Linked DNA regions of Arabidopsis thaliana. The protein of the gene in region 1 purifies or fractionates together with the protein of each later gene. This does not show direct contact. Each region holds a gene or a part of one and is shown on either strand. Other genes may lie near its edges.

What was found.
Region 2: the proteins of VAMP721 (region 1) and NPSN11 purify together in Arabidopsis thaliana (affinity purification with western blotting; one study listed by BioGRID). This does not show direct contact.
Region 3: the proteins of VAMP721 (region 1) and SYP111 purify together in Arabidopsis thaliana (affinity purification with western blotting; one study listed by BioGRID). This does not show direct contact.

The regions. Positions count from the first base shown.
Region 1 is NC_003070.9:1,331,865-1,335,620, forward strand, and holds the start of VAMP721 (vesicle-associated membrane protein 721), read right to left. Parts: upstream 1,788-3,756; 5' UTR 1,563-1,787; coding exon 1,373-1,562; exon of another isoform or gene 867-1,372; coding exon 725-866; intron 646-724; coding exon 525-645; intron 336-524; coding exon 273-335; intron 137-272; coding exon 1-136. Other genes in the region: VAMP726 (vesicle-associated membrane protein 726), read left to right, coding at 2,896-3,085, 3,468-3,609, 3,699-3,756. UniProt on the Arabidopsis thaliana protein: Involved in the targeting and/or fusion of transport vesicles to their target membrane.
Region 2 is NC_003071.7:14,828,996-14,832,751, reverse strand, and holds the start of NPSN11 (Putative plant snare 11), read right to left. Parts: upstream 2,127-3,756; 5' UTR 1,666-2,126; coding exon 1,589-1,665; intron 1,496-1,588; coding exon 1,403-1,495; intron 1,329-1,402; coding exon 1,197-1,328; intron 1,120-1,196; coding exon 1,025-1,119; intron 901-1,024; coding exon 821-900; intron 670-820; coding exon 613-669; intron 481-612; coding exon 388-480; intron 285-387; coding exon 210-284; intron 1-209. Other genes in the region: AT2G35170 (Histone H3 K4-specific methyltransferase SET7/9 family protein), read right to left, coding at 3,147-3,320, 3,405-3,663. UniProt on the Arabidopsis thaliana protein: t-SNARE involved in diverse vesicle trafficking and membrane fusion processes, including cell plate formation.
Region 3 is NC_003070.9:2,709,273-2,713,028, forward strand, and holds SYP111 (syntaxin of plants 111), read right to left. Parts: upstream 1,729-3,756; 5' UTR 1,538-1,728; intron 1,448-1,537; 5' UTR 1,439-1,447; coding exon 506-1,438; 3' UTR 253-505; downstream 1-252. Other genes in the region: NPQ1 (non-photochemical quenching 1), read left to right, coding at 1-115. UniProt on the Arabidopsis thaliana protein: Involved in cytokinesis. Acts as a cell plate-specific syntaxin, required for the fusion of vesicles at the plane of cell division.

The DNA.
Region 1 (3,756 bases):
TAAACCCATGGCAAACTGAGAGCACGATGATGAGAATCAGTGCGATAATGATGGCGAGCACTATGAGTTTTATCTTCATGTTCTGAAGCCACATCTTTCTTCTCATCTGCGTTCCTGTTGTTCTGAAATCTTGTGCCTGTGGCAGTTTGAGTTCAGTTAGACACAAGATATGGTAATAGGATGAGTCAGCTATGAACTCAAAAAGCATGTTCATCTTTGTGTGTGAGTGTAGGCAAATAGATGCAGGAGATAAGGGTATGAGAGAGTCTAACCTGTGAGCGAAGATTTTCGGTTTTGTCCACCAAAAGCTCAATTTTCTCACCACGGTCAAGAACCTGCAAATAATGAGTCGCATATGTAAGCGGTGTTACATTGGTAAACTGGACATTTCCCGTAAGATGTAATGCATTGAATTATTAGTAATTGATTTCACAGTAACTTAGTATGACTAGATGAGCTCTTTCAGATGGGTCAACCATAGATGTAAATATATACATTGAGGACAGAAAGGGTCAGATTCAAACCTTCTCAATGTTTTCCATCATTACACCCTTAACTTCTGACACTTGCGCCTTCACCTTAGCAAGCTTGCTAATCTCATCAGGATGATCCATGCAATACTGCATATGCTCTTTCAGTTTAGAGCTTCAAAGTTACCAAAAAGAGTCAGTCCACGAATATAAAAGAGAAGATCATCCAAATAGAAGAGATAATGAAAAAGTACCCAAACTCCTTATTCAAGCTGTTTGCTTGAGCAGTTGCAGCCTTTCCACCACCATATCGCTTGTTAAAATCTTCTTTTACTCTTTCCAAAAAGGACATGGGAATTTGCCTCCCAGCAGAATCAACCGCAACAACACAATAGGCTGTACAACAGGAACAAAATCAATCTCCTTGTCTTCCCTTACGGGATAATCAGGTGACATTGATTTAATATGAAATTGATATGGCTACAACAACTAAAGGATAGTCACAAAAGCTTACAATAAGACCCCAGATTTTCATTGAAAAATGAAGCCAGCCAAAACCCATGACCTAGGAAACTATACGCAAATAAAGCAACCAGTAAAAACCCTGTCTCAGATCAATGTTGGTGTTCTTCCACATAGTATCAACCAAAGCTACCACGGATTCTGTCCAAATCTGAGTGATTATACAGGTAAGACTCTACAGAGATTTATTGCGTTTAATAAATATAGATCTAACCCTAAAAGCTTGGTTCATGCGGTTCCTCAGTGAAATCAGACTACTCAGGATGCACAAATCCATACGAATCGATAGGTTAGGCAAATAAACCTAGAAACAAATCGAGGTAAGCACCGAATGGTGTAAGATTAAAACCTATGCATAGATCAAACGAAAAGTGACTTACTGAATCCATCTTCGACAAGGTAATTGAAGGTATGACCGTCGCAGTTGTAGGTGAACTTGTTGTTCGAAGACGGAAGCTTCTGGAGGCACTGAGCAGCGATTGAGGTGAAATTACCTTTGAAATCAGTGAACTCAACGAGGATCACCGTGCCGCGAGCTACGAAACTGTAGATCAACGATTGTTGCGCCATTTTTTCTTTACCTTAAATCTCCGATCCAATCGACCGTCTGATCAGAGAATTTTTTGGGCGGTCGCGGAAAAAAACTACAGATCTAGAAGACTATGAAAGAACAAAACGAGGACTAAAGTGGACATGGGAGAAGAAAAAGTTGAAAAGCGGGCAAGGGTAAAGTTGTCATTTAAGGTAGTCAGATTGGGTCAAAAATAGTATAAAACCTTGAATTTAAGGACTAAAAAAAAACAATTTCAAAACGGAGAGATCAAACAAATGTCGAGAAAGTTGGACCCGCCCGGATCCAGCCAAAAAGCTCGTGGACTCTGCCGATGGCACAAATTAGTAATTACCAACTTTAGGACAAGTTCAGGTCCCATGGTCGAAGAGAGTCTGTCTCTGTCTTCCTCAAAATATCTTTTTTTCCAAATTCATCATTGATCAGTGATTCCAGTATTAGCTCAGTTACGAACAAAAGGCTTAAACATAAAAACAAATGTTGTAATTAACCAAATTTCTTAATTCTTAATGGACGGGGGGAGCTCATAGTCATAGTATCTTGTTACAGCAACAAAATTCGAACTTCTACCGTTATCTCTTGTCATCTACAATTGCTCTGCATTGTTTAGAACCTGCTAATTAATTTGTTTAACGTGTTCCTAAAGATTTTGATCAACAATCAAATAATTGAAATTTAGGTAGTTAGGTTGTGGTTAGAATAGAAGGTTAGTGAATTGGAATGAAAGAAAAGGTTTGCAACATTATTTTAATTTTTTTGGTAGGAAGGTTTGCAACATTATCAATTGAACGTTCTTTTAAGTAACATAACATATAATTTATAGAAAATTTAACAACTCAAATATCCCTTACACATCGCAATTTTCTTTATAAAAAATCAATATATAATATATATATATATATATATATTTGTTTTTTAAAATGCTCATTGATAAACATTTCACATTTGAATTGAAAAACGAGCCACCGTGGTGTAAAAACATGAAGATACTATTATTAATTAGACGTGAATTATTTACCAAAATAAAGTTTATTAAGGCAATTTTCGACTATACAAATGATGAATTTTTCTTTTTATTTACTTTTTATATTTAAAAATTCAAAATTTGAACGTTACCAAAGGGAAAATAATGTCTCTGTTACTCGCGCAAATCCAGCGCTCTCATATAGTTTCTCTTCTCCGATCTCTGCGTCCTGCTTTCTCCATCGCTACCCCTCGTTCCCTTGTGTATTTTTACATCGCTTACTAATCTCTCTCATCAATTCGATCGGATTTTTGTGGTGTTCTTAGGTTTCGTTTTTTTATCTTTCTCTCATCTGGATAAAAGGAAGAATGGGACAACAATCGTTGATCTACAGCTTCGTCGCTCGCGGTACGGTGATCCTCGCCGAGTATACCGAGTTCAAGGGCAATTTCACCTCCGTCGCCGCTCAGTGTCTCCAGAAACTTCCGTCCTCGAACAACAAATTTACCTACAATTGCGACGGTCACACTTTCAATTATCTCGCTGATAATGGCTTCAGTAAGTCTCTATCTCCCGATCTGTGTCGATTTTGCTCTGTATTTCTCTGTTTATGCCTTGGTTCATCTGTTTTCTTATGAATGCTTAGTTTCGAAATCAAATGTTCGAGAACAGTGTAGCTTTGAATTTCGTAGGATATTCGTTGCTCTCGATTCTTGTGGCATTGTGTTATATTCAGATTTTCTTCTAATCAATGCCATGTCTTGATTGGATATGCAATCTGTTGTTTTCGTTCTGATTTTAATCAGCTTTATGCATGGCTTCTTTGGAATGTTTATTGTGAAGATTTTTATGTTTGGAAAGCTTTGGTTGTCCAATGCACGAATTTGCTTTAGTTGGAATGTGACAATAAGATTTCTCATTTCCCTCTGTTGTTATGCAGCCTATTGTGTTGTTGTTATTGAATCTGCTGGGAGGCAGATACCAATGGCTTTCTTGGAGAGAGTCAAGGAGGATTTCAACAAGAGATACGGTGGTGGAAAAGCTTCCACTGCTAAAGCCAACAGCTTGAACAAAGAATTCGGGTACTTTTAACATTTTTAGTCAGAGCATTTCTTTTCAATTCCATCTTTGTGGATGTGTGTTTTAAATGGTTTTGTTGTAATGAATGTAGGTCTAAATTGAAGGAGCACATGCAGTACTGTGCGGATCATCCTGAGGAGATTAGCAAA
Region 2 (3,756 bases), on another chromosome or scaffold:
TATATTGCATAACTGAATAATGGAGAAAGACAAAATTGTGGGTATTTGTGCTTTTTATAGGTTCTTCGATCAACAAGGTATCCAGCAAAGTAAAAAACATAACCTCATATTATTCAAGAAAAAATAATGATGAACACCGAAATCTATTTAACTCAAACAAGTATCCAAGTGTGTGTGCACATTTGAATAAGAAAGGAGATGAGATGTACCTTGACGATGATGATTGCTATGACACCAATGACGATAAGGAAAAGAAATGCCATAATACATTTGTCAGTGGCAACCTGATAAAAGAAGGACAGAGAGTAAGTGAAAGGGACAAGAAGGAGCTGCAGATAACAAGTAATGATGATATAAAGAAGAAATAAGGAGATTTATGAGACTAACCTGCCTACCAATTTCCTTGACCAGCTTGGAGGCTTTCTTGAGTGAGAAATGAATAGAATCGAGCTCATTGACAACTCTACTCATTTGCTCGGTCTGAACAAGGAAAATGTAAACTATCTTAATAATTCTCAGAATTCACACACAAATACACAATCTTGGAAAAAAATGAGATTCAGGTAGAAGCAGGACTGTTTGGAAAGAAACAAGTGTGGGCTAACTACACACCTGAGCCTTGAGAGCTGCTGAAGTATCTGTTCCCACATTTATAGTTTCTTGTACAATCTGTTGTCACAGACACAAAAAAAGCAGTGAGATTTTGCTTTAGTGAAGATGGAAAAATGGACACAAGTTATCACATGGCATTCACGGCTCCATGAACATTAGACTGAAATTTCAAGAGACAATAAGACATTCATATAATCTGAAAACGGACCTTTTTCCCTCTCTCAATAGCTTGATCTGTGTCATCCATCATTGAGTTTCCTTTATCCATTAACTCTTGATTGGACATGTCTGAGAGTTATTAAGTTTCCAGTAAATACTCTAGTTAGGTTGTATGTAATCATATAACAACAAAGTGCAATAAATATCTATCTCATTGTTAGTTGGTCGCAAAATACGAGATTTAAAGACTTACTTGAAGCTAATAAGACATTTTCTTCCATGTGTTCTTCTCCAGGTCCATCGAAAAGATCTACTCGCTTGTTATTGCTTGCTAGGTTTGATGAGTATCTGTATAACCATCCTCATTATCATCAATCACCATAAATATGAGCATCAGTTAAGCAATTAGCAAAAGTGTGACCTACTTCTTCTTAAGAGCAACATATGAGTTGAGTTCCTTAACCATAGATTGTCGTCTATCGTTCAACATCCGGTTAGTGCTGGCATCATTACCGCTTTCCAAGCTTTTGATTTCCCTATCGAAATCTTTAATAAGGCTGCAAAGAAGAAGAACAAGGCATCATCATCATCATCATTGGATAATCAAACACCAGATTCAATGAATGTATACCTCTTACAGTCACGCATTTTGTCAGTGAGTTCTTCCAGCTGCCTACTCTGCCTATTAGCATCTTTGATCTTCTCCAGCTTCTGGAATCCATTTCTGTAGAAAACAAAAACATCAAAACATTATTATATAGACACAAATACCAAATCACAAATGGAGAGAAAACGCTAGAGAGAGATTCATTCTCACGATAAAGCACGGAAGATGTCATTGATTTGTCCTTCGATCTCAGCCAGCTCTTCGCTAACCGCTGATATTGGATCCATCTTTACACAGATTCCCAGAAAAATTCAGTGCCGATATACAAAAGACAACAATGTCTCTTCTTCAGATCCACGCGAGCAGTTTTTGAAAAATGTCGACCACGAATCGACTCGCCGAGATTAGATCCGATGGATCTGAAATCGAATCACCTCCAACGAAAAGAATTGAAAGCCTGGTGTCAAAATCGCCGAGCAAATCGTAATAACAGAACCCGTGTTTTTTTTCTTCAGATCTAAGAACAATGTGGATGTTCAAAATCGATAACGAAGAGATAGATATCAAAATCACGAGCACGAGCTCTCTCTCCCCTACACCCAGATTTTATTTGTTTTGTTTTTCCCTAATTTCTCTCGGACATTTTTTGTTTTTGTTCTTGGGGAATTCTAAAAGCTAATTTTTTGCCATTGATTTGGCTCGAAGGGACGAAAATGAGAGATTTTGAAAAACTGCGTTACCGAAAACCAGTGGGACCCGCCACGACATCGTTTGTCAGTGTTGGAACTCATATAACCTGGGACGTACGATTGGTCACCTCTCCAGATCTGACGATCCACACTCTTTACATTAGCTTAATTTTGATAATTGACTTTAAATGAAATTAAAATAAAGAGCACATCATAATAATTAATTCGAAAACGAAACAAAACTTTCAGTCCTTCATTAAATTAGAATCGTTTATTTATTATACAAACCGGTAAATGCAAAAATCGAAATCCAAACTAAATTTGAAAATAAGAAAAATTAGGACAAAGAAAAAAAAAAAGTGTACTTAAGAAAAACCGAATTCAACTAATTAAGGGAAGTGTATAATGTCATCTAGCTTGGCCCAAATAAAAACGGCCTAAATCCTTGCTTTTAGTTCATTCAAATAAATGCTTCATAGCATGAGATGTTGTCTGCTGTGTGAATCATAAGATCCCTCTTTTGATTTCAGATTTTCAGCCCATTTTACATTGTTTCTGAATCTGTTGAAATGTTGTCTGTTAAGGGACCAGATATGGTGCCAGTCTTAGGAAGCAAATCAAGAAGATGGAAGTGAGTCAGCACAGCAAATACTTCTGCTAGTTCTGTGGCAAGTATGCTGTTAAACGGAAGGCTGTTGGAATTTGGGGATGTAAGGACTGTGGGAAAGTTAAGGCTGGAGGTGCCTACACGATGAATACTGCTAGTGCTGTAACTGTTAGGAGTACCATCAGAAGGCTCAGAGAACAAACTGAGAGCTAGACTTCTTCTACTCATACACAACTTTTCAAGACCAGATTCATCTTTTGTTATAAGACTGATATACCAGATTCTTCTAATTGTTTAATCAAGATAGGGATTTTTGGCTACATGTATGTCAGTTGCATTCTATGAAGCAGACCCAATTTTTTTCTTGTTGATATACAAAGATCATCTCTAGTTTATTATCTACAGTTTCAAACTAGCTTTGCTCATAAAGGAACAAGAAAACCTGTTAAGGAAGATCTCTTCTAACCTATGCTCAACAATTGGTTTCAAGATCGCCATCATTCCTGTGAAAGGTCTGGGATTGGACAGCCTTCACGGCTGCTACTCTAGCTGCATTCGCTGCTCTATTTGCAGCCATCACCGCTCTCTTGATCCTCTCTTCCACTTTCACAACTTCATGTGCTTTCTCAGCTGCTTTCCTTGCTTGCTGAAGGAGAAAGAGAGAACAAGCTTAGTTTAATACATATATGGTGTTTGCAGTACTAAAGATAAACTACTAGTTAACTTTTACCTCAACAGCATCAACAACTTTGGAATGGCTTATGGTAAAAGATGATCCAGGACGGATAGTCTGCTCGGTAGGACAACTGAGTACACCGTCTTCCCAATGACCGGCTTGTGTATCACCATTCCTGAAAGTATACATACCAAGCCCTTGCCTTCTTCCCTCGTGCCAAGCTCCTTCATACTTATGCCCGTTCGCAAAGTGATACACTCCAAAACCATGCATCTTGTCTGCAAAATACTCCCCAGCATACGCATCACCATTTCTGCAACAGCAGCATAACTCCAAGTTAAATGTAGTTTTAAAGCCATGGTACCGCTAAAGCATACTGGACCACCAGTGCTTCATGCAATTGCTT
Region 3 (3,756 bases), 1.4 Mb from region 1:
TTTCGTGAGAGAGTTAAGTAAAGAAGAGATGGAGTTTTTGGATGAGATCAAAATGGAAGCAAGTGAGGTTGAAAAATTGTTTGGGAAAGCTTTGCCAATCAGGAAGGTCAGGTAGAAACAAGAACCACCATTGTTGTACAAACTATATTATACATACTGTGTTCGGTTCATATAAAGTAATATTTTTGTACACAGTCATCATCATTCCATAACAATTGGATACAGAAAACACAAGGATTAAACATCCTTTGAGCGAAACAAACAACGATTGGTAAACATAGTACCTCAAGAAGAGCTGAAAGTGTTAACAATGGGGATGACAACATTTAGAATGATCAAGAGGATTAAGTCAACTGGGTATCTTTGTAAACATTCACCATTTCATTGAAATTGGATACAAGACACGAAAGGATTAAGACATCCTTGAAGAACACAAAAGGATTAAGACATCCATTGGTACAAAGAAGAGCGAAACAAAACAAAAGGAGTGAACATAGCCAGTATCTCAAGAAGAGCTGAAACTGGTAATGATGGGGATGACAACAATGAGAATGATCAAAAGCAGCACAATGATACCAATGCACATCCATTTTCTGCTGTTTCTCTGATGACTCTTTGCAGTCTTCAGCTCATTAGCTCCATCAGCCACGTAATGGCTCGCATTAATCACATGATGCTCGATCTCGTCCATCTGTTCACCTTGCGATTCAACCATCACAGCCATATCAAGAAACACTTGGTGAAGCTCCAACAGACTCTTCTCAATCTCCTTTGCTGCATCATACCTGTCTTGAATCTCAACCACAGTTTCCAAGACCTTTCCTTTACCATGTTCCTGAATTGCTCGCGTGAGAAACTCTTCACCTCCAGCGTTATCAGTGATGATCTTCTCAATCATCTCATCATTAGCATGTTCTCCAGTGACAGTGAAGTACCTTCTCTCAACAGTCTCCTTGTACTCACTCATCATCTTTTGCCTCAGCCCCTGAAACTCCATCATCACTTCCTTAAGTTTCTTCCTCAGCCCATTAGTCACAGCGGTTCTGCTCCTATAAACCGGAGTCCCAGAGAGCCTTTTAATCTCCTTGTTGGCTTTATCCATCTCTTCCAGCTTCGACTTAATCGATTTCGCCTTCCTCAAACCAGACACAATCTCGTTAGAGATCTTGTTACGAAGAGACTTCACAGACTCTGCCTTGTGAACACCTTTACTCTCTTCATGGTACTGTTCGATCCGAGCCAGCGTCTCACTAATCAAACCCATCTCTGCTTTCACATACTCTGCTTCTTCTAAGAAAGATGACAGATTCTCATCCATCTTGTCTGCTTTCGTAGAAGCCATCTCAAGATCAAAGTCAGGTCCTGCTTCCATATCCTTCATCGCTGCTTTTTTCAAGTCAACGTAACTCATAAACGATTTCGTCATCAAGTCGTTCATCTTTTTCACCTGAAAGTCAACAATTTTACAAGAATCAGAGAGAATCGCAGTGATTGTAACAGAATCAAACAAGAGAAAATCAAAGAAAATACAACATACTCTTCTGATTAGTGTGTTCTTCTAGATCCACAAAGTTTCTGCCCAGAAAGTGAGAGAGTAGTGTGAAGTAAAGCTTACTATAGAATTTGATTAGCGATTTGTGAGATGAGAGAAAGCTTTCTTTCTAATATAAGAAAAAGGAGAAATTAGCCGTTACTGTGATTTCTTCGCCCCAACGGCTATATTTTGGCGATGTATCCGTTGTCGTCCATTTGTCTATCTGTTTCTGTTTCTTCAAATCTATTTTTAAATTCATGTGAATTTCTTTCGAAACTTTAAAATAATATAGGGACTAAATTGTAATTAGATGTATGTTTTAGTGCCGACGTGTGTGATTGAGACAGCTTTAAAGATATCGAAACTGAGAAGAAAATATAGGGACTAAATTGTAATTATGTGTATGACATCGCTTTTGTCGACAAATCATCATTGGTGACGATTTACGAAAGCAAAGAAGAGGTGTTCTTAGCTGCACATTTGTCACCATTTATACAAAAATTGTGGTTCTTGTGTTTTGTTTTTTATGTTGGAAAACTTATGGTATAGTTTCTTTTGTTACGATACACCTTAGTTGAACCATTCAAATTATTAGGATATTTTCAAATATATAATATTTTAATTCTAATTTCGTATGTAAACGACTCTCCAATAAAACATCTCCACTAGCTTGTTGGTCTCTAAACTTGAAATCAGTTTTTATTTTTCTTGTAATATTTTCAAAATTGTTTCAATATCGTAGACAAATTTTAAATAAAATGTACATCATATCTCTATAAACTTAATAATACCCAAAATTTTGACTAATCACATTAAATTCCTTATGATATTCGAATAAAAAAATAATTTAATAATATTTATTGTAGTCGCAATTCAATATTTATTCTGTAATGCTTGAAAAATGTTTTTAAAAACTGTGTCACTACATTACTATAACGTTAGTATGTACTAAATTTTGTAACGTTTCATGGTTATAAAATAGTATTAGTTTACCGACAAAAATATATAGATTACGTAACGCTTGTTTTACATTAAAACAAATTTGTTAGGATTGTTTTGTCTATTCTACATTCGTCACATTTGTTTTGTTTAAACTTTTTGTTTTCTAATTAAAAAATTATTCTGTTTTTGTAATTAAATATAGTAAATTTGTTTGCCGCCCAAAAAAATATTACATAACGCTTGTTTTACATTAAAATAAAGTTGCTTCGATTGTTTTGGCTGTTCAACTCTAGTCACATTTGTTACGTTTGTTCTACTTATTGTCGTGAATCGATCGAAAACTTGTGCAATGTGGAATTGAGGGGGTTAGATGTAAACCAAAAAACTAAAAAGGGCAATCTCCAATTATTTTGTTAAAGAGGTGGCAATTGCAAATCTCCAATAATATAAAGTTCATAAAAAAGGTTAAAGGAGAGAGTTGTGGTGGAGAGAGTGAGACCCACGTGGGTGATGTGTTGGCAAACTATCTTCCTTAAAATCCAAATCCATTTATCCATCACTACTTTTTTTTCTTTTGTTTGGTAGTAAAATCCTTCACTAGTTGATTGCAGATGACTAATAAAGTAATAATCTTTCATTTTGGTGGTTCATCGCCTAATTTGTTGTTTACTTGATTGATAAATGTTTGAGGATGAAACTGTATCATTTATTTTTCTCAAAATTGTTTGGTTCATGACCTATATAATCCATTTGTTTAATATTAATATAGGTAAATTTAAAATTCGTTACTTAAATTGGCTAAACATACTCTTCAAAATAATATATATCCACTTAACATAGTTAAAACTCTGTATTCAGATAAAAGCATGGTAAAAAACCAAACATATCCATTTAAATGTATTCAAAGTCATGAGAAAATTTCCTATACTTGTTCCTTTATATCTGCGAGAAGTCATGAACCTTATCCATTTATTAGTTTTCTTCTGACCGACTAAACCTGATAATCACTAATCCACCGTTAGATCTTAAAATTCCAAATCCAAAATGGACGGTCAAGATCACTTAACGAAAAAGAAAACAGTTTCCTGTCCAGAAATGTCTAACCTTGAGGCCTTTTTCTCTTTCCTTTAAACTTTTTTTTTTCGATTATAAATTTTCTCGTGAAGCTAATTTTTCCTGAGAAAGAAAGCGAAACTTCGCTGGCGACTAAAGATTGCTGAGAAGACACGTCGTCTCTGTGAGAACTTTTTCTTTTTCTTCTGGTATATTCTGGAGACAGA